Drosophila melanogaster: one gene and its partners. The protein of the gene in region 1 interacts with the protein of each later gene in a pairwise test. Each region holds a gene or a part of one and is shown on either strand. Other genes may lie near its edges.

Region 1 (6,287 bases):
TGTCCCCGACGCCCACCGGTTGGTTGCCCACTTGGTTGTGGCCAAACTGATTAAGCACAGCTGAGGGTTCAGTCCGCTGCTTTTAGGGGTGAAATCGACACCAAAATATGAATACGTCTACTAACACGACGGATTGCAAATAATCAGGGCTTAAAAGAACTCGACTATAAAACATATGGTTGGCTATGATGGAGGAAGATAATTAAAAAATCGCAAAAGCTACAAGATTTTTGATGTTACTTGGATCTTCAGAGCTTCTATTGAACTTGGAATGATTGACTGGGTCGTTAAATTCGTTTTCTGCATTGGAAAGTGGATATTCGGTCTAGTCCAAAATGGACCTCTTGAATCACAGACAACAACAGAAGCTGCAACCTGCTGGGCCAACTTGCATTTTGTTTATCTGGGCATTTTAAATTTATAATTTCTTGTTTGCTAGCGCCTGAGATTGTTTCCCCCGCTCCTTTTTTGTTATTAAGAGTTTATTGCATTTTGCGCTTCCATTTTCAAGTGGCTCGTACGGCATTATTTATGGGAGTAGTTCTATGGCAGTGCGCTAGAAATCCACTTCAGCCGACTGCTCCGTTTGCAGCCCATCATCTGCTCCAACCCGGCGGCTTCGTCCTCATCCTCCATCATCGATATGGAGCAATGGCTTCATTTCGAGTGACACTTGTCGCTGGAGCTCTGCGGGACTGGGTGCCTGCCAGCTCGGTGCACTTTCCGCTGCTTTATGGTCTTGCCCGTCTCCCAAAATGGCATTGGGGTCGGTATGACATTCGGACGACTATGGACTGTCGATTGCCGTCCGCTGATTGCTGATTGCCGCTGAGTTGTTTTGACAATTTAATAGCCGAACCGCTTGGCGGTGACGCTTTATGTCACAATTTGCCCCAATTAATTCATTGCGGAAATCAAGGTAATTAGCATGGAATCACATGGTCTTTTCTTGCTCTCATTCTCATTTAAACTTTACCAGGAAATATTGTTTTCTCAAACGATAAATTCAGGGCAATATATTTGATTAGAAAATACTGTTTTTGAATAAAAATTTGATTACTCAATATATATCCAAATTCAATTTGATTTTAATTATTATCGTTTTAAAAGCTTAAGCAATTTTTAATACTCTGCCAGCAATTACATATCAACCTTAAATTATCTACAGATGAGGACTAGTTCAAAACACGAATACTAAACGAAGACAATTTTGATGTTAACGACCTTCCTTTTGCATCGCTCAGTTTTTGGATTGTAAATAGAAAAAATCATATATTTTGAGAAGAGCGTCTGACTATATACATACAGCATAGTGTTATACCATATTATCACAAAGCAAATGTTTTGTATGAAAATAAATTTATACATTTTTGCCCTATGCAGGCGAAGTATCACTTCACAGTCTGCCCCAAAAGCCACTTTGCCGGGGCACTTAACACTCAGCAGAATCCAATCAAGTCGATTGATACAAGATTATGTATTGATTCGACTACTGCTTATTGAAAATTCCATAAATTAGCAAATGAAAAACAGAGCGTTTGGCGCTAATGAAATCTCGTACGTCTTTATGGCGCAACCTAAACAAAACGGCTGGAAATCTCCGATGTCCGAGCACGGAATGTGCTTAATATCATTAAAATCAATAAAATAAACAACTAATTTGATAAGCTGACAGCTGGGCTACCCGAAGTGGCGGGCTATTCGTCCGCCGTGACAATGAGGAGCGGGCTGGAAAATGCATCCCCGCGAGCTTTCAATTGGCTGCCCGTCGGTCCAATCAGCATTTGGGCCCCCTGCACAGGCGCACGCCGCACGCTGTCGGCCCACCACCCAATGGCCAACCGCAGTGGGTGTTAATTTTCGCGAAACCAGTTTGCCGAGCGAGAGGGCGCTATGGTCGGGTGGGTTCCAATTGGACTGAGTGCGCAGCCTCTGTGCTCTTCTGTCCGACTCTGGAGCATGCGAGGAGGCGGCCATTTTCTTAGAGTTGTCGCACTCGCACCCATGGCTCAGGCCTATCCGACAGAGTGGTGGCTTGTGCCGAATACACCATGGCAAGCGCAACTCACCACAGGCAGGTCATACGCCTGGCCTGCTCGCACTCGCGCTTTCGTTACCCTCTATTCATTTTACGTCGTGCATAGGTCGATCCCATTCGCACGCATGCGATCGTCGGCAGATATTTTCACGAGGCAACACAGCAGCGAGTTAGAATTTCAGGAGCATTTCAGTCCTGCTGCGCATCTTGAAACGTCAAGTCTTGGCATTCGGTTAGCGTCAAGTCTTGCTGCGATTCGAACGCCCCAGAAACGCATCGCGCGCGAGTGCATTACGTAAATAAGTATCAAGTCGCATGCGAAATATCTAAGAGCGAAATAAGCGCACAGTATATACAGCTAAGTGAGGTGACCTCAGTGCGTGATGGGCTCATTGGCCTAGCAAAGTGCGAATCGAAAACTTGTAGTTCAGTTCTTTCTGAATTAATTTTAAAAACATATAAGCGAGCAATAACACTGTAACCATGATGATGAACGCCTTCATTGAGCCGGCTCAGCACCACCTGGCCAGCTACGGGCTGCGAATGTCGCCCAACACCACCGCCAGTAACAGCAACGCGCAGCAGCAACAGCAGCAGCAACTGGAGATGACCCAACAGCAGCAGCAACAACAGCAACAACAGCAGCAGCAACAGCAACAGGATCAGGAATCCGCGGCGGCCACTGCTGCAGCCTATCAGAACTCCGGATATGGGCACTTTAACAGCTATGCCTCCCGGGACTTTTTGCTGGGCAGGAGGGAGGCCGAGTACGGTGTGGCAGGATCCGCCGGACAGGCCTCCGCCGCAGCGGATTCCATGCTCTTCTCCGGCTTTCCCGCTCAGGCCGCGGAGCTGGGCTCCGGGTTCGGACAACACCCCTTCCACAGCCACCATCACCACCATCAGATGCGAATGGGCATGGCGGATGCCTACGCCGCCGGCCACCCGTACAACCACCACGGCAACTTCCCGACGGCGGCAGTGCACCACCCGGTCGTGCACCACCCGTCCCACCACGCCATGTCCGCGATGCACCCGGCCGGAGCAGGGGCCTTCCTGCGCTACATGCGCCATCAGCCGGCCTCGTCCGCCTCCAGCGTTAAGCAGGAGATGCAGTGCCTCTGGATAGACCCCGACCAGCCGGGCCTGGTGCCCCCGGGCGGCAGGAAGACCTGCAACAAGGTATTCCACTCGATGCACGAGATCGTCACCCACCTGACCGTGGAGCACGTGGGCGGACCCGAGTGCACCACCCACGCCTGCTTCTGGGTGGGCTGCTCTCGCAACGGACGCCCTTTCAAGGCCAAGTACAAGCTGGTCAACCACATCCGCGTCCACACCGGCGAGAAACCTTTCGCCTGCCCGCACCCGGGTTGCGGCAAGGTCTTCGCCCGGAGCGAGAACCTCAAGATCCACAAGCGGACGCATACAGGTAAGTGTGGCGGTGCATTCCGCTTTATATTTAAACCATATTAAACCATTCATTAAACTAAGAAAATACTTTTATTTAGTTTTGGTTTGGCAGTCAAATTCTGTGTGTAATTATTCCTGTTTTATAAAGATCTTAATACTAATAGAAAGTCGAAGCCTTATGCAGATTTTAACCGCTTATATTTAGAATAGCACATGCTAGGTCTGCAATCTCTTAGAATTCACCTTGCGTGGGCATAACCCTTGCCCGCCTGGGCAAATCCCGGACGTTGTCGATGTGAGCGTGTTACCGACGGCAAAAGTCGTTGCAACGCCCACTACCTGGCTTAACCCGCCACTGGCCGGGCGGGTCATCTTTTATGACACCTGTAAAACCTGCGCCCAAAGCTCTTCCGCGCCCAGAAAATCCCGCAAAGATGTTGTCCTTACGGCTAGGATTACTCTACGGCTTTAGGTTGACTTCGACTTTTGGTCTTAGTATTTCCCTAAGCCTGCGACTTCTCTTGACTTTGGATTTTGACTGGCATGTATTTAACTACGTTTGGAAACTTGGTCAAATTTGTAAAGGAACTGAAAAATTTAGTTTAGCTACTCCTTTGTTTTTTATACTTTAAGCCTTGTTGTCGGCTTCAGATTTTGTATTATTTAATAATAATGGCTTACTATTACTTTGATAGCCAACCGCTCTATGCAAATTCTCAATATAATTAATTTTTCTTAAATCCATCATTAATCATGCCCATTTCAAGCATTTCTCTTTCAATTGTCTTTCAAAAATAAATTAAAATCGCTTTGCAGCTCATAGCCTGAACACTTTTGAAAAAACATAGCCATAGTTGGAGGCTTTAAAATACAATTTATGCGGTATAGTCGTGATCTATGAGAAGTCGAACTATAAAGCCAGAAACGGAGCTTAACGCAAATTAATGACTTTGATTCCAGTGGCTGTTGAACTTGTTCCATTGAAATTTATGGCTGAGCATGTAGGGCTCATTAGAAGCGGCGAAACACAGCCATTAAAATCAATTAACAAGTGGAAGTTGGGAAAGCAAACATGAAATGCGAAAACACAAAACAAAGTTTCGCATAATTGGTGAAAAGAGCGCCAATCAGGTTAATAAACTTTCCAGCAAATATCGCTTGGTCCTGGATTATCCTTGATTGACCTCAGCCTTGGCGTAATTAACTTGGAAATTGGAGGAGAAGAATGAAAATATGGCCAGCAATATTCCGCAATATCCAGCATGCTTATATTTTGTTGTTTTAATGTTGGCTTTTGGCATTTGTTGTTGCCTCTTTATTTCTATTATTTTGTAATTTGGCCTCATGATTCCAAATTGAATTAAAATAAGACGTCGGGCTTCATTATAGCTTCATCTTGTAGTTACCGCGATTATAAACTCACAAAGAAATTCATAAATCACAGAATTAGCCACACAAAAAAGCTATTTCTGTAAATCTGTTCGGACAACAGTATTTTCTTTTGCACACTCATCGAAAGGTAATTAAAATGTTTCGATTTGATTTCGAGACGCCGCCATATTGTGTTCGATTTTGGAACAATCATGTGGCATTATAATGAGTTGGTTGCTGTATGATGATATTTTTGACTAATTTCATATTTCTTTTCTCCGCCGTGATGCAGCAGAAAAGTGCATTTTAGGACCTCTGACTGATTTGTGTGTGCCTATGATTGGTTGACCTGGCTACACATTGTCGGAGATAGCCAACATATTGATTAGCTTTCAAGTGGCCGGCGCACAACTTCATTACGGATCGGGATCGAGCTGGGATCGGTCTGGTATCTGGCTGGGATCGGGGCCTTTAACCTTTCCATACGACTCGGGCACTTGAAGTAGCATCCTCCACACCGCATAAATCAAAAATTCAATCAGCATCGCTGGCTCGGCTAAATGTCCCTTGGCACTGGTGTTTGTTTTTATTGCATTGACACCGCCGACCCAGGGCAAATAAACACACTCGAACACACTGTGTTGACACGTGTCAAAACTTCCGTTTGAAATGGCTCGGAAATGCTTCCGAGGCACTCCGTGCTGGCCCTCTCAAAAAAGCCATCGAAACCGAAATTGGGGTAACACTCGCCGGATTACTGGACGCATTCGCACATTCGCATTCCACTCCTCTAGCTTTATTTTATTTGCGCTGCGATTGTTTCTGTGCTGTTCTGTTTGGGTTACTCGCCATGCTACATTAAGCTTTTGATTTAGATTATGCAAAGGTTATTTACGACCTGGCTTCCACTCCTCGCCGATGGGACGGGTGAGGGGTCCGAGTTTGATAAGTGGGTGAGTAAAACGGAGCAGGGCAGTCAAGTACGTGTTTATGGATCCAGCCGATATAGATCTGCCCAAATGGTGCCACTGTAGCAGCTCGAACTGATCGAAGGGGTCAGTACACCGCGGCAGGAGTTGACTTTAAGATTCGAGTGTGGAACGAGAGTAGGAGATTATAGTTGTGAAATAACTCTCAGTCAAATCCAGTTTTTCGCTATTGCCTCATAAATTGTGTGTTTCTCTCGGCTTAATAATTATGTTTACTTTCTTACATATATCTCTATTATTTAAAACAAAGATTGCATTGCTTCGATTTACCAATAGTTACGATGATCTAAAACAAATTCGATTCAACTGATATATGAGTAATAGTGGGAAGAGTCCTTTCAGAATATAGATCCCAAACTCACACAAACCACCACATGCATATGTCTCTTTTTGTTTCTTTCCCACCGTTCCGTCCGGTCACTGCGTTGTGTTAACTTTTGCACTTGTCCCCGTCACCGTCTGAAATTTTGGCTAGC
Region 2 (4,144 bases), 2.5 Mb from region 1:
CTTATTCGGGAAATCACAGCTAAAAAGGACAGCACCGCTGAAGGCCATTTCGTTTTTCCATAGTGCCACAGCACGGTCCACAGGGTCCGCAAGGGCCACAACGAGGTCCACAGGGGCCACAGCAGGGCCCGCAAGGTCCACAACAGGGTCCACAACAGGGTCCACAACAGGGTCCACAACAGGGTCCGCAACACGGTCCACAGGGTCCGCAGCAAGGTCCGCCCGGTGCACAGCCCATGTTTTTTTTTAATTTCTGAGAACTAAAAGAAAAGCTATTATACCAACAATTTTCTTAAATAAAAAACTACGTACAAAGTGCTGAACCTAAAAAGCTTGGAAAAGAGCTCAAATTTTGATGTTCTTGGGTTAAGGGAAAGATGAAAACTGATGTTTGCTTACATAGAACTTGCACAGGAAAGTAGAATATAGATTCAAAGCCTTCTAGATTTAAAATAAACAAATGCAAAATTAATAAAAATTTTATATCAATGCCCTAAAAGGAATTTAATTTTGTTCTTTAGTGAATTTTACAATAACGTGCTTAAGAAAATGTCCTGCCGTAGCAAGCAGTACAACTGATCCAGATGGGAACAACAAAGAACGTCCTAGTGAAGCTCGTCGGAAGGCAGAATCAATCACCTTGAGACGTCATTCGTGTAAAATAAAATGGTATTACCAAGAACGTCTCAACCATTTCCATATAGCAACTTGTGCTCGCAGCGCAATACAATCTGCTCGCTTAGTATCCGGCTAGTGTTCCTGATCAAGAAACCTACACCCACATACATATTACGAAACGCATTCCTATTATGTCAACGAGTAACGCCGAGTAAGAGCAATGGTGAACTATCCCAATGATAACATGGATCTGCATTAAGATACATATATATATATTTGTGGCTTTTAACTTTCAGGTGTTAGTTTAACCATGGTGGGATTGTGGTATGGTTTCACAAATCGATTCGGCTGCCAATTGCGAGCATTTAGCACCAACAGCCACCGCAACAACTGCCAAATGGTCCGCAACAAGGTCCACAGGGTCCACAGGGTCCACAGCAGGATCCGCACGGCCCACATCGGGGTCCACAAGGTCCACAGCAGGGACCACAGCAGTAATATCCGCAGCACGATCCACAAGGTCCACAGCACATGATTAATTCGAGAAGTCTAAAATAAACGAAATAAATATGTATACTATTTTAACTTTACAATAAACATTTTTACCAACGGTCTTTAGAAGCCAAAAAAAAAAAACAAGTATTTGGGACAAAACAACAAAATTTTGATGCGAGCAGCACAAGGGTCGAGATGAGAATGATATATTTTCCGAACTTACAAGGTTAGGTGGGTCTGACAGGTCAAGAACGATTTCCATAGCCTACTATGAATTCGAATTATGTTTATGTACAGCGGTTGATGGTTAAAAATAGTTATTATTGTTATAGAATTATTGTTATCGGACATTTGTCCGTTTGCAGACAAATACTATTATTGAATGAGGTTTAAATTCACGGTTGCAGGTTTTATACCCGCCACTCGTAGAGTAATAGCTATGCTATAGTGAATAGAAGAAAAGGTTATTTATTCTTGAGCTGGATCACAAGCCTAGTCGATATGAACGTAGGATGTTCCTCCGCCCCCTCTAACGATCGCAATCCACCAAGAATTGACAATTTTAATTTTCGCAATTATATTACATAAATTATTATTGTCACGCATTTGGTATCCATAGCTAAGACAAAGGTTGCACCATTTAGAAGAGAAAAACCATCGGAAAAGGTATTTTGAAATTCTTATTTTATTGACTAGGCCCGCGAGCTAAGAAGAGTTTATCCGCATTCAGTCCTAAGTTCCACTTTGTGGTTCACAGGAAAAAGATATTTTACATGTTGTGGTTGTTGTTCAGCACCCGCAATATGGCCTACAAGGTCCACAGCAAGGTCCACAAGGCCCGCATGGACCACAGCCCCCGCAGCAAGGACCGCAAGGACCGCAAGGGCCGCAAGGCGCACAGCAAGATCCACAAGGACTACAGCAGGAACCGCAAGGACCACAGGGTCCGCAAGGTCCGCAAGGACCGCCGCACGGGCTACAGGGTCCGCAGAATCCAAGGGGTCCGCAACACATGATGGTTCCGTAAAGTTCTAAGAAAAATTTTGTTAAAACTTCGCATGCTTACACTTTGAGAAATACTCACTTTGAACCTAACAAAGAAATAACTTAGGACGAAAAAATATTTCGATGATTACAGGCCGAGAACCAAAATAAGAATGATGGAAACCTGACTCACAAGTTGGTATATGAATTTGACAACTGTCGAAAATATCCATAGCTAACTAGATTATGGGTTTTGGGATACCAGAATATAATAATAATAATGAATATAATTTGTCGGATCATATTAGCCTTGAAATTCTCATGACTGCTGTCAAATGAAGCTTCGGCTAATTTGGATCACATTCAGTCAGTTCTCCGTTCCACCTTCAATAGTTAACACCTAAATTTTCGGTTCCTTTCGATTCCGGTTGGGAAATATCTTTTAAGAAACAAAATCATGTACATGTACGTCAACCCGAATTACGTTTTGGTTGGGGTATGTATTTATCGGTCTCGTAAGTCGAGTGAATACTTTTAATATGATTTATCAGGGCCCCTGCTGTGGCCCCTGCGGCGGATGCGGACCCTGTGGTGGATGTGGCCCCTGCTGTGGTGGGTGTGGCCCCTGCTGTGGTCCTTGCGGAGGATGTGGACCTTGCTGCGGCGGCACCAGCAGTTTTTGCGGTTGCGGTCCTTGCTGCTAAACCAGTTGACCCGGAAACCTGTCGGAATACTTCCGGGAACTATGTAAATCTCAAAAAATAAACTGTGTGGGAGACAACAAATTATATATTTTTGTTTCTTATTGAAATTAATAATGTAATGTCCTAGTCAACGTAGCTTGGTAGTAGCGGCATCGAGTAAATCAGCTTGTTCCAAAAGTTCGGATGGCTTCTCTCCAGATAGGTGTTAAATGCCATGTAGGTCCTTAGCTCGCTATCCAGACTGTCGAAGTTCTTCACGTTTGGATAGAGCACCACTATCAGACGCTTGCACCGATCGCGTGAGGTGGCGTGGAGGGCCAGTCGGAACTCGAGGCGACCCCAAGTGGAATTCATAAAGTTCTCTGTCATGAGGACAATAATGCGCCGCGAGTCCTTTATAGATTGACCAATGCAATCGGGAATAGATTCGCCCGCCAGCCAGTCTCGCAGGTAGAAGCAGAGTTGGAACCTGGGCCTACCACGTTCCAGCCTATCCACGAACTCCTCCAGCAGAGCCTCGTCCTTATGGGTAAACGCCAGAAAGGCATCGAACCTTTTGTCCTTATCAAGTTCCCGCTTGGCTGACAGACTGAGACACACACCGTGCTCATAGAACCAGACCAGGACCGGTTGTCTGAACCATATCAAAAAGTTTAAGGCAATGATCGTGGCCACTAGGGAGATCGCGAGTGCCAAATAATAAAAGAGGTCAGATGGACACACAATATGCTGATTAATCGAGACTAGCTTCTCACCATTACTGCACTTTATCTCAGTGAAGTCTACTATACTTGAAGACACACTCTTCATGAAATTTATCTTTTCTATATCGTTGCAAGAACAAGACCAGGGATTGTCAAGCAAATGCAGCTTTAACGATCTGTTCTCGATAGAAGAACGATTCTTCTGTGACAGGGCCGTAAGGTTGTTATTCCTTAGGTCCACATAGGTAACCCTGCTTGAAAGTGAAGGCATCTGTAGAAGTCCTTCTCCTCTGCAATCGACAATAAATGATGGCCATGTCAAGTTATCCAAGCAGCAGACACAAACATCTGGACAATCCGTTGGAGATATATTGCAACGTTTCAACGTGACGTCATACTCAAGGGGTTCGTGATCTCTCAAAATGGAAAGGACTGATCTCGACTTACAGTCGCAATTCCAGGGATTCCCAGAAAGTTTAGTTTTAATTGAATTTTTCTTAAGGTAACTCAGGACTTTGTCATCCAGGGTAACGAGATTATTGAAACGTAGATCAAGAAACCTTAGTTCCTTTGGTAGCATTGCGATGGTTATGTTTGATATATTATTTTTAGATAAATGCAGTTCCATAGGACTAGACA
Region 3 (5,938 bases), on another chromosome or scaffold:
GTCTTGCACAGCCGAGCCTGTCCAGTGGCCAGTGCCTACGATGCTAATCTCGGCTACTGCGTGGATGTGGCTGAGGTGTCCTGCTACGAGAGTGCCGCCCTGCCGGAACCGGAAAACACCTTCTGCCTGGACAGTGCCACCGGATCCGCTCGCGTTGGCTACTTTGCCGACGACGAGTCCTGCTCCCACTACTATATCTGTGGCAGCCCCGTCGCCGGCAAGCACGACACGGAGCCCAAGCACCTGAGCTGTCCACTTGGCCAGTACTTCGACTTCGAGAAGCTCTCGTGCCGCGACAGACTTAACGTACGCTGCCAGCTGGACAGGTGTGTGGGCACCAACATCACCTACGTAAACGTCGCCGGCGATTGCCAGAGCTATGGACGTTGCTCCGGCGGAGTGACCGTCAGCCTGGGCCAGTGCCCAACGGGCTACTACTTCGACGAGCGCAACCAGGGATGCACACAGACCAACTACCACAACATCGCATGTTCCGTGTAGGCTGTCCCAGAAGATCGCATCCTTACCACAATCCTTACCAAATCGCATCCAATTTAAATATCCAATAAATCGATCCAATTCATGGTGGAGGTCAAATGCATTGCTTGAAAGGAATTCATGTACTTTGTGGTGGGAAGTGTTAAGTTTTATGACATTCATCCATTTACTTTTTACCATGGAAATGGGTCTACAAATATTAGCTTCTCGAAAAATGTCCAATAAATGTGTTACTCCATTGAAACCTGAAATGTATATATATATAGTTTATCCATTGCATTTGGCTCTATTGTAGTTTTATTCCCTTTCCATTCGAATTTTACCGTCTGCTTCCTCTTTATAGAAGATGTTACCCTAACCTTGAACAATAAAATATGAATTGGTATAAATAATGCTAGAGAAATACTATGATTTTTTGGACTGATTTTTGAACTACATTGGCGGAAATGTTCATTAGCGAAACGAAGTTGGCGTGATAAAATTCTTCTGGCAACCCTTTTGATATCAAAACTGCGCCACACAACGATTCATATTTGGCAATCTGTTTTCGTGACACTTGCAGTGCCCAAAAAATTATCAGTTTTAATTAAAATTGTACCCCAGTGGAGGGTTCGGAGAATTTCAAACCGATTCCAGATAGTCCAGATAATGAATTCGCTACTCGGAGCTGCCGCGATCGCTTATTTCCGTGTTGGCCATCAGGCGAGCAAGAAGTATCCAACGCCCAAGGGTCGTTTTTGTCTATCACTAATTAAATTCAACTATTAGGGTCGATGTTACCCATTAGGTCCACAAATATTGTATGAGTGTGAAATGCAAATGAAATGCATCGACGCGCTTTCGTTCTCCATAGAAATCAATTATGTCCACTTTAAGAAGGAAGTTATACAAGTCCACAGGGCGGATGATTGATTTGTATGTAGGAAAGGTCAAGTATTCAAATGACAAACGGGGCAACTTTGCAGCCTCGCTATAATGTATTAGTATTTATTGATCATAACAAATAACGATAACAAATTCCGAAAAACTCAATAATATAAGTTATCTTGTTATGACACCTCATAGACATATGTACATGTACATATATGGTGCCTAATGAATAAAGTGGTTTGAATAATCAACTTTGTAGTACGATAACTTCGTACTTTTCCATTCAAATCTCCTATTGCAGTTGTTAAAAACGGTGATATCACCCATGTATGGGCCATGAATGGGATCCAATGGCTACCTCCCTGGTACTTTCCCATCGCCAAATTTCCAAGTGGTGTTCTTGAGTATGACATCACGGTTTCACGTTACCGAGTGTCTTGCTCGGCAATCGATTCAAGGAAATCTTGGCCCAGAGGTGATCTGGTAACTTAATCGTTATTGCGCCTGATTACACCACTTATATTTATTGTATCGGCGTCGAAAAAACAAACTGTCTAATTAAAACTGATTGCGTACGTCGCTCACGAGACCAAAATATTGCTGATAGTGCCATTCATCAGCCGACGTTTTCTGGCAGGCGGGATAAGATTATATTATGGCTCGGATGGTTCACAAATGAGTCAACTTTTAATCGTACAACTAAGCTTTTCGAAATAATCTTTTTATACCTAAATACATTTGAAAATTCAGATGTTTGTATTGTGATCAATTCCACGAAATCTAAACAAAGAGCTGATCTATAATTTGTATGGGACTTGGGCCTGATAACAGCACTACTTATACTTATGAGGAGCTGCTCACGACACCGGGACCGCAATGGTGGTGCTAGTGATGGTGCTGCTGGTGGTGGTGGTGGTGCCACTTGGAACTTGGGACCCGGTGGTTGCCTCCGATATCTGACAGGCGGTATATGATATGACCTGGGTGGTGCACCGTTGGGTTATTTCGTCGAAGTACTCGTCCTGCGGACAAGTTCCTTGGCCAATGACGATGCCATCCTGGCAGATCGAGTAGCCCCTGCAGCCATCATCCGACTCGTTGGCCAGCTGAATGGTGGAATTGCCCAAGCCCACGCATCGATCGTAGCCGCATTTCACCTTGGATCGCGGGACACAGGCTCCGCCATCGGTGGCCAGGAAAAATCTTCCATCGGAGCAGACGCCATGCTCCAGCGAGAACTCTCCATTGCCCAAATCCTTGCAGTAGTAGTAGCCATTGCAGGTCTTGTTATCCGATATAAATCCACCCGTCTCTGGACATACACCCTTCTTGCTAATATCTGGCACTGGGACGAAGTCACACTCCACATTCTGCGGATAATCGCACTGGGCCGTGGAGGCCTTGAAGTAGAAGGTGCCCGGACAGGTTCCATTGATCACCTGGCCATCCCAGCACAACTGATAGCCATTGCAGTTGTCCGTGTCCTTGACGAAGACCCCATCCGGCAAGATGTTGCAATAGCTATCCGGGTCCATTTTATTCGAGCACGGAAAATCGCGGATGCAGTCCTGCGTTCCCGAATTGAAATTCATCCCAGTGTTGCACACTCCGTGCGTCCCCTTGCCATCCTTGCAATAGTAATAACCATTGCAGGAGTACGGATCAGCCGCGAATCCGGTGGGCAGAGCAGCGCACGGATCACTGGACAGACACTTGATACTACTGGAACTCAGGCATTTCTGGCTCTCCCGGTCGTAGAAGAGTCCAGTCGCACAGCTACCACTCACAGGGCTCCCATCGATGCACTGAATCCACGCGTTGCACGCCCGAGGATCGTTCATCTTGGTTCCGTTGACCACCAAGCTACATATTAGAGTTGCATTGAAGGTCAGGGCGCCTGATATCGTGGGGATCATGATGAGTCCGGAAATGAAGGCGAGCTTTGTGTCTGTTTTGCATAAAAGGGTATAAGTACGATATTCGAAATAAGTTGCAAGTGAAGTATGCTTTCAATTTCGATTTAAATTGCATATTTTTTTTTCAATAAATGTTTGAGTTTTCGTTATGAACTTCTTGAGCCTAAGTCTACGGTTTTCTATATTTATATCTGTCTATGAAATGGTAATTCTTCTCGAAACAACAATATAGTTACTTCGATGGATATCTGCTAGTGCCAGAGATACTCACCCATCTCGAGTTCAGCAAACTTTTAGTATTCCAAAGATACAAGTACCTCTTAACGGCTAACGAGGAAAAGAACGTCTAACTGGATGCCATCCAAGTTCGCCAATAAATACAAATCGAAAGACAATGCTTATGCCCTCGCTACTTTTGGGTTTTCCGAAAGGTCTGTAAATTTTGGAAGCTCTAAGTTAGTCTAGAACTGTCTTCAGTGGCTAAAATGGACGCATGACGTATTCATATTTCACTTTTATCAGATTCGGTTAAATCCAAATTTGACAAGTGATAAACTTGGCCAACGCCGGTGCGCAGTTCATTTAAAACCCAATTTGTTTTTATTTTTGTCAACTTGTGCGGTCATACCTTTGGTTTTTTGGTAGTATTCGTTGTCGAATTCGTATCCGCTTGTTTATAATTACTATCTTTAGATTGGGTCTAATTTAATTTATTACACATATAGTAATTAACTTTATTTCAAAATCAAATGTTATTATGTTTATCGCCTGCGATCTGCTGACTCAGGTGCACACGACATTATGCTATTAATAGTCCACGATGACCGATTCTTACTGACATACATACTTATTGAGATTACTGTTTAAAATTATACATTATTGTGAAATTATTTACGATTAAACTAACTTTATGAAATAATCTGCCGATCGTCGGTTTTAATTGTACCTGATAGTCGTAGAGTAAATGAGTGTACAGAGTGTTCGTTGAAAGGAAAGATACTATTGTATAAGAATATAGAAGATTGATGTGAAAATTACTTGGTGTATAGGTATGCTACAACAAGTAAACCACATATAAAAAATCTAGTGTCCTTGAACTCCCTTCAAATGAGTACTGAGTATCTTAAAGTCGAGGAACTACACTAGCTTACTTGTTTTTTTAAAGTCAATTGGGCTTTACCACATAAGTCCAACTTTTCTGTTCCGATAGTAACAAATATGTCTAGGAATCGCCACAATTAGTCAATATTATTAAAAACAAAGTGTGTGGGTTTTGCCATATAATATGTAGGTAATTTTAAGCTAATTTAGATTACTCTAATCTCATTTCGTTTAATTGATTTGTTTGAAAAAAAAAATAGAAAGGACCATATTTGGAGAACTTCTTGATATGGTACTACTTGAATTATATAATTCGGTAAAAAACTCATTCAAATTTAATCAAGTATATACATTTGGTTAAACAATTATAACAATTATAAAGTCGTTAGCTTTAAAATGCGAACTCTGTTATAAGTTTAGAGCACGATGTAATTCTTTATTGCTCTTTTATTTACACATTAACTTTTTAATATTCCAATTATAGAAACGCAGTCTAAAAAATACATTTGAGTTAATAAAAAGAACCCAAATTTCTATCCGTCTGAGTTCTGGGAAAGTTCTTATCCCCACAAAAACTTTGTTGACTTGTCAAAATGGCCATCGATCATGCAAAAATGGTTCGTTGGCTTCGCTTGCGATACATCACAAAATGGGTTCCTGAGCTGAAGGGTCGTCGATCAACTTGGACAGCCCAGCGGATCGAAGATAACTCCTGGCTGGACTGCAAATAAAAGCCCAGGAAGTCCATCAACCAGAAACAGTATTCAACTAGGAGCCACCAAAAGAAGAAGCAAATAATGGGTGGGTATCGCATATAAAAGTTCGAAACAGGAAAAATTGGAACATCATATGAATATATTCAACGCTTCCAGGTGGACAAAAAGCAACCATCCTCGCTGCCGTGGCGCTGGTGATCGCCTGTGCCGCTCCAGCAATAGCCGATGTGAATGTCACCGCCTTGTGCCTGCTGGTCAGCAATGGGAACTACGTGGCCAGCCAGTCGGACTGCTCGACCTACTACCAGTGCCAGGGATCCTCGTTCACGGCCATGTCCTGTCCCCAGGGCTACTACTTCGACAAGAATGCCCAGCAGTGCACGGGCACTGTGCCGAGCACCTGCACCAGCAACTCCGATCCCTGTCTGGGCAAGGCGGTGGGATCCTTCGCGGCATCCAGTTCGTCCTGCGGCGGCTACTACTACTGCGGAGCCTCCGGCGCTGTGAGGGGCAATTGTCCTGCCGGCGAGAACTTCAATCCCACCACAATGGCCTGTGTGTACAAGAACAACTATCCATGCAGCGAGTCCGCCGGTGATGGCTCCACTGTGTCGGTCGCCCTCAACCTATGCAATCTTGTCAAGAATGGCTTTTACTTTGGAAGCCCTTCCGACTGCAGTGGCTGGAACTTCTGCCAGGACAACGTTCTGCACTCGGGATCCTGCGAAGATGGTCTAGTATTCAATGTGCAGGCCAGCAACTGCGGCTACAAGATGGCCTCATCCTGCGCCCAGGTCACCAATGATCCATCCCTGACCGGAGTGTCTGCTCCGACCA
Region 4 (6,258 bases), on another chromosome or scaffold:
ATCTGCTCAAGGATCTCCTTGCGACGCAGCTCCTTCTCCTTTTTTCCAAAGGCTAGACCCTCCTCCACCGTGCGAATGAACTCTGGATGGAAGCATGTCGTATCACCCGGAGCCACCAGCCATTGAATCACTCGTCGGCCGTACGGGCTGCTCATTAGCGCCTTTAGATCTCCGTGTAGGTGATCGTAAATTGCCTTCTTGGTCGCCTTAGTGTCGTCCAGTGCGTTTAGCAGCGAGATGAGGAACACGTGGCCGTGCTCATGGTTGGCGATCTTTAGCAGGTGCTCCTTGATATTCTTGATAATGGCCTGAAGAAGGGGTTAGAATACATATAAGATTCTGTTTCATCAACACACGTTATACGTGATCCACTTACTCTGCGATTCTTGGGCGTCGACTTGTAGAAGCATATAACAGCCGCCTCGCTGCCCTCCTTGGTGGACAGCATGTGAGGCACTAGAGCCGCAAACGCAGTGACCGTCTCCTCCAGCTTCTCCTCATCTTCGTCGCAGGCGCGCAGGTACTCCAGCATCACGGCGTGCACCAGCGCACTGTCCACCAGCTGCTTGTTGGCCACATGATCCAGGTTTGCTTTAACCGACCCCAAAATGGAGGCCTTCATGTTCGTGGCCTCCTTATAGGTGTCGCTCAGAGTCTTCACATTCGAATCCTTGGCCTTCCGGTACAGATCGCCGTAGAACTCCTGGCGCATATAGATGCGCTGATTGGGTGTGGCGCTCTGATACATCGAATCCAGCAGCCCACTGCCGATGCTGTGTCCGGCCAAACGCACTATATGTCCGTACAGGCTGTCCACCAGCTTGGCTTTGGTGGCTGGCGCACCGTACTTGAGCATCCGTTGCACGCAGAACTGGGCGTATTTCGACTGGCACATCTCCACGGTGAAGGGAAGCAGCTTCTCAGAGATCTCGGCCCGCAGAGCTGGCGACGCGTACTTTAGCATGCTCTGGATCACGCGGGCGGTGTCGTGGGCCTTCACCACCTTTGAAATAGTGTCGCCCACGTTGAGCACCTTGTATATCTGCTCCACCAGCTTGTCCTTGTTCTCCGTTCGGCGGCTGCAAGACAAGCACCAAATTATGTTGATATATATATATCAGAGCAATAGGATTTGCGCATTCATTAGTTGTAATTTTACGAAAAAAAAAAAAAACGCGACAGAGGATAGAGCTGGTTTGTTTATGACCAAACAAAACAGCATGCGCTAAATAGGCGTCTTTGGAATCTACGCTCTTGGTTCTAACTCAACATTTATACAGAAATACAAGGCTATATTAACTTAGTTTTGATACTGATCAAAATGCTTAACTAGCTATTATTGTTTCAAGAACATGAATAAAATGTTTGGTGTTTTTGAATTCGAACCAAGTGGCAATGTTCGGTTTTTCCACGAACAGGTGCTTCGTTTTGGGATCCACATGGCCATGTTTATCGATATCTTGTCCTTTAAGGAACCAAAATGACTTATAATTATTAAAACTATATCGTATAGATTGATGCCTTATGAAATTTAAACAACTTTGTACGTTCTGAATGTACATAAGTGCATGAAAGAGCCCGATTTTGTTGAGCTATCATAATTTGTATAGGTAATTTGAGCGCTAAGGATGATAATAACCGATTGTTTGGGCTGTTCATCGTGTTTTTGGGGATGCTCACCATCGCAACTTCTCGTGGATCTGGTTGGCCTCCTTGCTGATCTCGTAGGTGTCCTTGGCACTCTTGCGCTTCAGCTTGAGGTCCTTCTTCTCCTTCTTGAACTTGTTCCAGTCCTGTTTCTCGCCCTCCGCCGGCGCCTGTGGCTGTGTTTGTGGTTTTCCGCGGAACTTGTTGCCACCAAGCCTCTTGTCGCCGGTGGCTCCGGATTTGTCAAACTTCTTGAAGCCACCGGGCCCAGACTTGTCGAACTTCTTGGCACCACCAGCGCCTGGCTTTACAAACGACTTGCCTGCTCCTCCGCCGAATTTGTCGAACTTCCTGGCGCCTCCTGCTCCACCGGGCTTAAACTTCTGTCCGTTGGCGCGCTTGCCGGACGATTCATGGGCCTTGAGGGGCGAGGCCGTGTTGGCCACGTTAGCAGGTCCTTTCGGCTCCGAGCTAACCATCTTTGCTGCGTTTTCTTGGACACTACAACTAAATAACAGCAAATGTTTTTGCCAAAAAAGCGAACTACACGTGCTGCTGATGCAGAGTGACCAGATTGTTGCAGTATACCCAAGCTGTGTAAATACCAAAATCTGGTATTTTCGTTCCACATACAGTAAGTATCAATGAAGTGCTTCTATTTGTTTAAAATTTAACTCAAGTTAATGCGTTCAGTTCAATTTGACTTTCCATTTGAAAGCGGCTAAAAAATAATAATCCATGTCTAAATATTAAATTTAAACTCTTCCTAAACTAAGCTCCTCAATGTTGATTACTTGTTATAGAAGGTCAAATAATTTTATGCATGTATTTGCGTCGTTTTATGAATATATGTATGTATTCATTCCCAAAAACATATTAGAATTGGTCTAAAAATTGAAGGTACCGATTTTTCATTAACGGCACTTGCCAACACTGGCTTTGCGGGGTAGCAGCCGTGTTTCTCGCGCTGGCAACCCTGTCCGGCAGAGTTCACGCACTCGGGCAACCTTGTCGTTGGAGGTGTTCGCGAACGTCGACAACCCTAGCGGCAACAGTTAAAAAATGGTGTGAAACGGCGACGGAGAACGCGGCGTGCAACTGTTGGAAGCCACTGCTTGGTCCTCGTTTTGGTCCCGGGTTCTGGTCCTCCTATTGATCTCCATCTCCGCCCGGCCACCAGCTCGAAAGCGCACCTACACATCATAGTTTCCATAGACAGTCCCAGTTCCACATCCACTCCCCCGCCAGCCAGCCAACAACAACAAAAACAACAACAGCAAGAGAAACAACTCAGAAGTCGAAAGGAATCTGGGAACTCCTGCGACTCCCCCGCGCAATGGGCACCATCTCATCCGTGCTGCAGTGGTCGTGCACCAAATGTAACACTATCAATCCCACGGAGTCGCTCAAGTGCTTCAATTGCGGCACCGTCCGCAAGGTGTTCCCCCAACAACAGCAGCAGCAGCATCGCAGCAGCAGCATCACCGCCTCCTGGACAGCTGATGATGCACTGGAGCAGGAGCAGGCGGAGAAGGGGCAGGAGAGGGACAAGGAGAAGGGCAGGGCGGCGGTTGCCAGGTAAGCGAAGCGGTCGCCACAAAAACAAACAGCCTGTATGCCTCCTCTGCGAGGATGTGCCTGTGTGTGTCTGTGTCTGTATGCGTGTGTGTGTGTGTGTATGTGGGCGCCAGTGGTGGCATCCAATTGGAGGACAAAAGCGCTAGCTAAAATCATGTCGCATATGGTAATGTGTATAGAAATCGGTGGCGTTTTCAAATCCAACTTTTTTCGCACACACATTGTATGCACACTTTGGAAAATATACAAATACACAAATATGTACATACTTTCATCGGTAAAATTCGTCAATCAAAAACCTTAACTTTCAAAGAATAATAATACCAAAAGCTTACCAACGTAAGCTCCTATGCTGAACTTTAATATCCAAAGAGCAGACCGAGTAAATCTTAGTAAATTTTATAGTTCTCACTAACCCTTTTGTGCATAATGAAACTTAAAGAATAAGAAAACAATGAAATCGGTTAGGAAAATCCTGATTAACTATCCATAGGAATAACTCGAATGGGAGTATAGGAATAAGTTGAAAGATTTTTATATTACGAACTTAAGTTTCGAAAGGCTAGGAAAAGGTACAGTGTGTACAAGTACACAGTTCAAAAGTCTAGCTTTAAAAGCCAAGCCGTCGGCACTGGTGATTGTCCCTGAGCGTGTGTGTGTGTGTGTGTGTGTGTGTGCGCGAGTGTGTGTATGTGAGAGCATGTATACACAGCAGAGGCAGAAGCAACAACAAAACAGCCGAGGAGCAGCGAGAATTGGGGAAAATCGATTTGGATAAAGAAGCATTGTTTACAAGTTTATCGATTCGCGAACTCGCTCGGCGATCTGAAGAGCAAAAGAGGTGTAGGAACAACTTCCGAGTCGAGCGGACGAGCGGAGAGTAGGAAAATGGCCAGTCATTGAGATAACCTTTGCGGTCAGGAAGTGGGGAAAGCCCAAACAGCTCAAGAACACCGAATCCCATCCAAACCCGACGAAAAACGAAAAACCCCATTTCCCTATTTTGCAGGAGCGAGTACAAGCATGTGTACAAGTCCCTGCTGCGCGGATGCTTGAAAAGACCACAGCGGAACAGCCAGAATCTGCCCGCCAACTGCGTGGATTGCGAGGACACGCGCAAGTACATCAAGAGCTCTATTGAGCTGTACCGCCACTTCTCGAATCCGGCCCTGAATCGGCGGTGGGTGTGCCACGCCTGCGGCACGGACAACAGCTCGGTCACCTGGCACTGCCTCATCTGCGACACGGTCAGCTATCTGGCGCCCATTTACAAGGACGCCATCGCCGCCGACCGAGGCCAGGATCTGGCTGGCAGCCTGGGCAATCGCGGCGAGCTGCTGGCGGCGGACCATTCACATCCACATCATCATCACCACTACCTCCACCAGGAACTGGAGGAGCAGCATCAGCATCAGTTACATTCCCAGCACTTGCATAAGCGCCACCTCAAAGGTAGATCTGCATCCGGATCGGGATCCGGACCGGGCTCGGGTTCTGGACTGCGCCGCACCCAGAGCCTGAGCACCGCTATCGACAAGAGCGCTTCCGGGCGCAGCTGCCACATTTGCTATGCGAACAACCAGAGCAAGGACATCTTCAATCTGCCGCAGATCAAGCCGGCGCCGCAGCTGACAGGTGCGTTCATCAGCTAACGAACTAATGAAAGGTTAAAGGTTACTTGAGGAAATAACTATAAGGTATTCTTATTGGCCAGCCTATCGTTTCCAAATTTTTACTAGAAGAAACTCTTTAAATGGACAACCGAATTATTTAAAGTCTATTCTCTTTTTGTAAAGTTCTTAATCTTAGTCAGATCATGATGAAAGTGTTAGCTTCCCATAACCGGAATGCACGCACTTGTTATCCGATAATCCAATTCTAATCCCTATGTGTTTCTCGCAGGGATTCCCCCCGTGGCCGCCTGCAGCAACTCCCGTTTTGCCATCGCCAACGACACTTTTTGCAGGCGCAAACAGAACAACAATAACAAGAACCAGAATCACAAGGTGGTTCGCGAGAGCGGTGCCAAGCGGAAGTACAACTTTACCATCACCACGCTCTCTCGGTCGGCGGCCAAGGATGCCGGCCATGGCCAAATGAAGCCACTGCGTCAGGTCGTTAATCTAAATCTGAATCTACAGCAGGAGCCGCAGCAGAAGTCACCGGCTAATCCGCAGCAGCTGCAGCGGAAAACCCAGCGGGAGCCAGCAGCAGTGAGTATGAATCCCACGCAGTTCACCATTCCGCGGAACGGCGTCTTCATAGCCGTCAACGAGTGGTCGGAGCCAATGGCCAGCAGCTCCTCCGTCTCCTCTAGCTCCAACCATCATCATCACCATCACAGCAACAGCAATAGCAATAGCAGCGGTAACAGCAACATCATCAACAACAACAGCAGCAGCTCCAGCGGCAGCAACAAGTTGTATGAGAACGAATGCGTGGCCCTGGCCCAGCAGCAACTAAGAGCAGCTGCTGCGCAGGCGGCACAGGCAGCCGCGACGGCGGTGGCCATTGCGAGTTCGCCATCAGCTAAGGCTATGGCCGAACCAGCTCCAACGGCTACCATGCCCATCTATGCGCAGGTGAACAAGCAGCACAAGCTCAAGAAGAAGCAACAGATTGCCAGCGAATCGCAAACGAACAACAACACTGGCAGTGGCGAGATCGCGGATGCGGTCAGTGAATCCCTTACCGCCGGACTAGGCACTAGCACCGATGGCAGCGGCGAGGCCAGCGAATCCGAGTCGCAGGTGGAGGAGCACTCCATCTACGCCAAAGTGTGGAAGGGACCGCGCAAGGCGACCGAGTCGAAAATGTAATTGGCAGCTAGCGTGCGACCGAGATTAGTCCACACCCATCCAACTTCCTATCCCCCGCAGAAGCTTATCAGTTGGCTACGTTTTTATTTTTGCTGATAATTTGCGTGGCGCTTAGTCACTGCGGCCTTCTGTTTGTATTTCGCCCGTCCACCAGCTTTTATTTTTATTCTGCCCGCTATAAGTTCAGTTGTATTATTTAAGCAAATTGTTTATG

What was found.
Region 2: the proteins of opa (region 1) and Mst84Da interact in a two-hybrid assay, tested with the Drosophila melanogaster proteins (one large-scale study listed by BioGRID).
Region 3: the proteins of opa (region 1) and CG6996 interact in a two-hybrid assay, tested with the Drosophila melanogaster proteins (one large-scale study listed by BioGRID).
Region 4: the proteins of opa (region 1) and sol interact in a two-hybrid assay, tested with the Drosophila melanogaster proteins (one large-scale study listed by BioGRID).

What each region holds. Positions count from the first base shown.
Region 1 is NT_033777.3:4,850,585-4,856,871, forward strand, and holds the start of opa (odd paired), read left to right. Parts: upstream 1-2,228; 5' UTR 2,229-2,521; coding exon 2,522-3,470; intron 3,471-6,287. UniProt on the Drosophila melanogaster protein: Transcription factor essential for parasegmental subdivision of the embryo. It is involved in the activation of wingless (wg) in odd parasegments.
Region 2 is NT_033777.3:7,363,379-7,367,522, forward strand, and holds Mst84Da (Male-specific RNA 84Da), read left to right. Parts: upstream 1-2,471; 5' UTR 2,472-2,554; coding exon 2,555-2,593; exon of another isoform or gene 2,594-2,648; coding exon 2,649-2,801; 3' UTR 2,802-2,884; downstream 2,885-4,144. Other genes in the region: Mst84Dd (Male-specific RNA 84Dd), read right to left, coding at 20-238; Mst84Dc (Male-specific RNA 84Dc), read right to left, coding at 984-1,151; Mst84Db (Male-specific RNA 84Db), read right to left, coding at 1,903-2,127.
Region 3 is NT_037436.4:20,205,246-20,211,183, reverse strand, and holds CG6996 (uncharacterized protein), read right to left. Parts: upstream 3,651-5,938; 5' UTR 3,560-3,650; coding exon 3,556-3,559; intron 3,319-3,555; exon of another isoform or gene 3,317-3,318; coding exon 2,226-3,316; 3' UTR 1,584-2,225; downstream 1-1,583. Other genes in the region: CG7017 (uncharacterized protein), read left to right, coding at 1-501; CG7290 (uncharacterized protein), read left to right, coding at 5,183-5,186, 5,258-5,938.
Region 4 is NC_004354.4:21,347,626-21,353,883, forward strand, and holds the start of sol (small optic lobes), read left to right. Parts: upstream 1-2,654; 5' UTR 2,655-2,983; coding exon 2,984-3,225; intron 3,226-4,009; exon of another isoform or gene 4,010-4,136; coding exon of another isoform or gene 4,137-4,141; intron 4,142-4,234; coding exon 4,235-4,860; intron 4,861-5,127; coding exon 5,128-6,040; intron 6,041-6,258. Other genes in the region: peng (penguin), read right to left, coding at 1-308, 377-1,079, 1,681-2,126. UniProt on the Drosophila melanogaster protein: Has a role in eye development. Calcium-regulated non-lysosomal thiol-protease.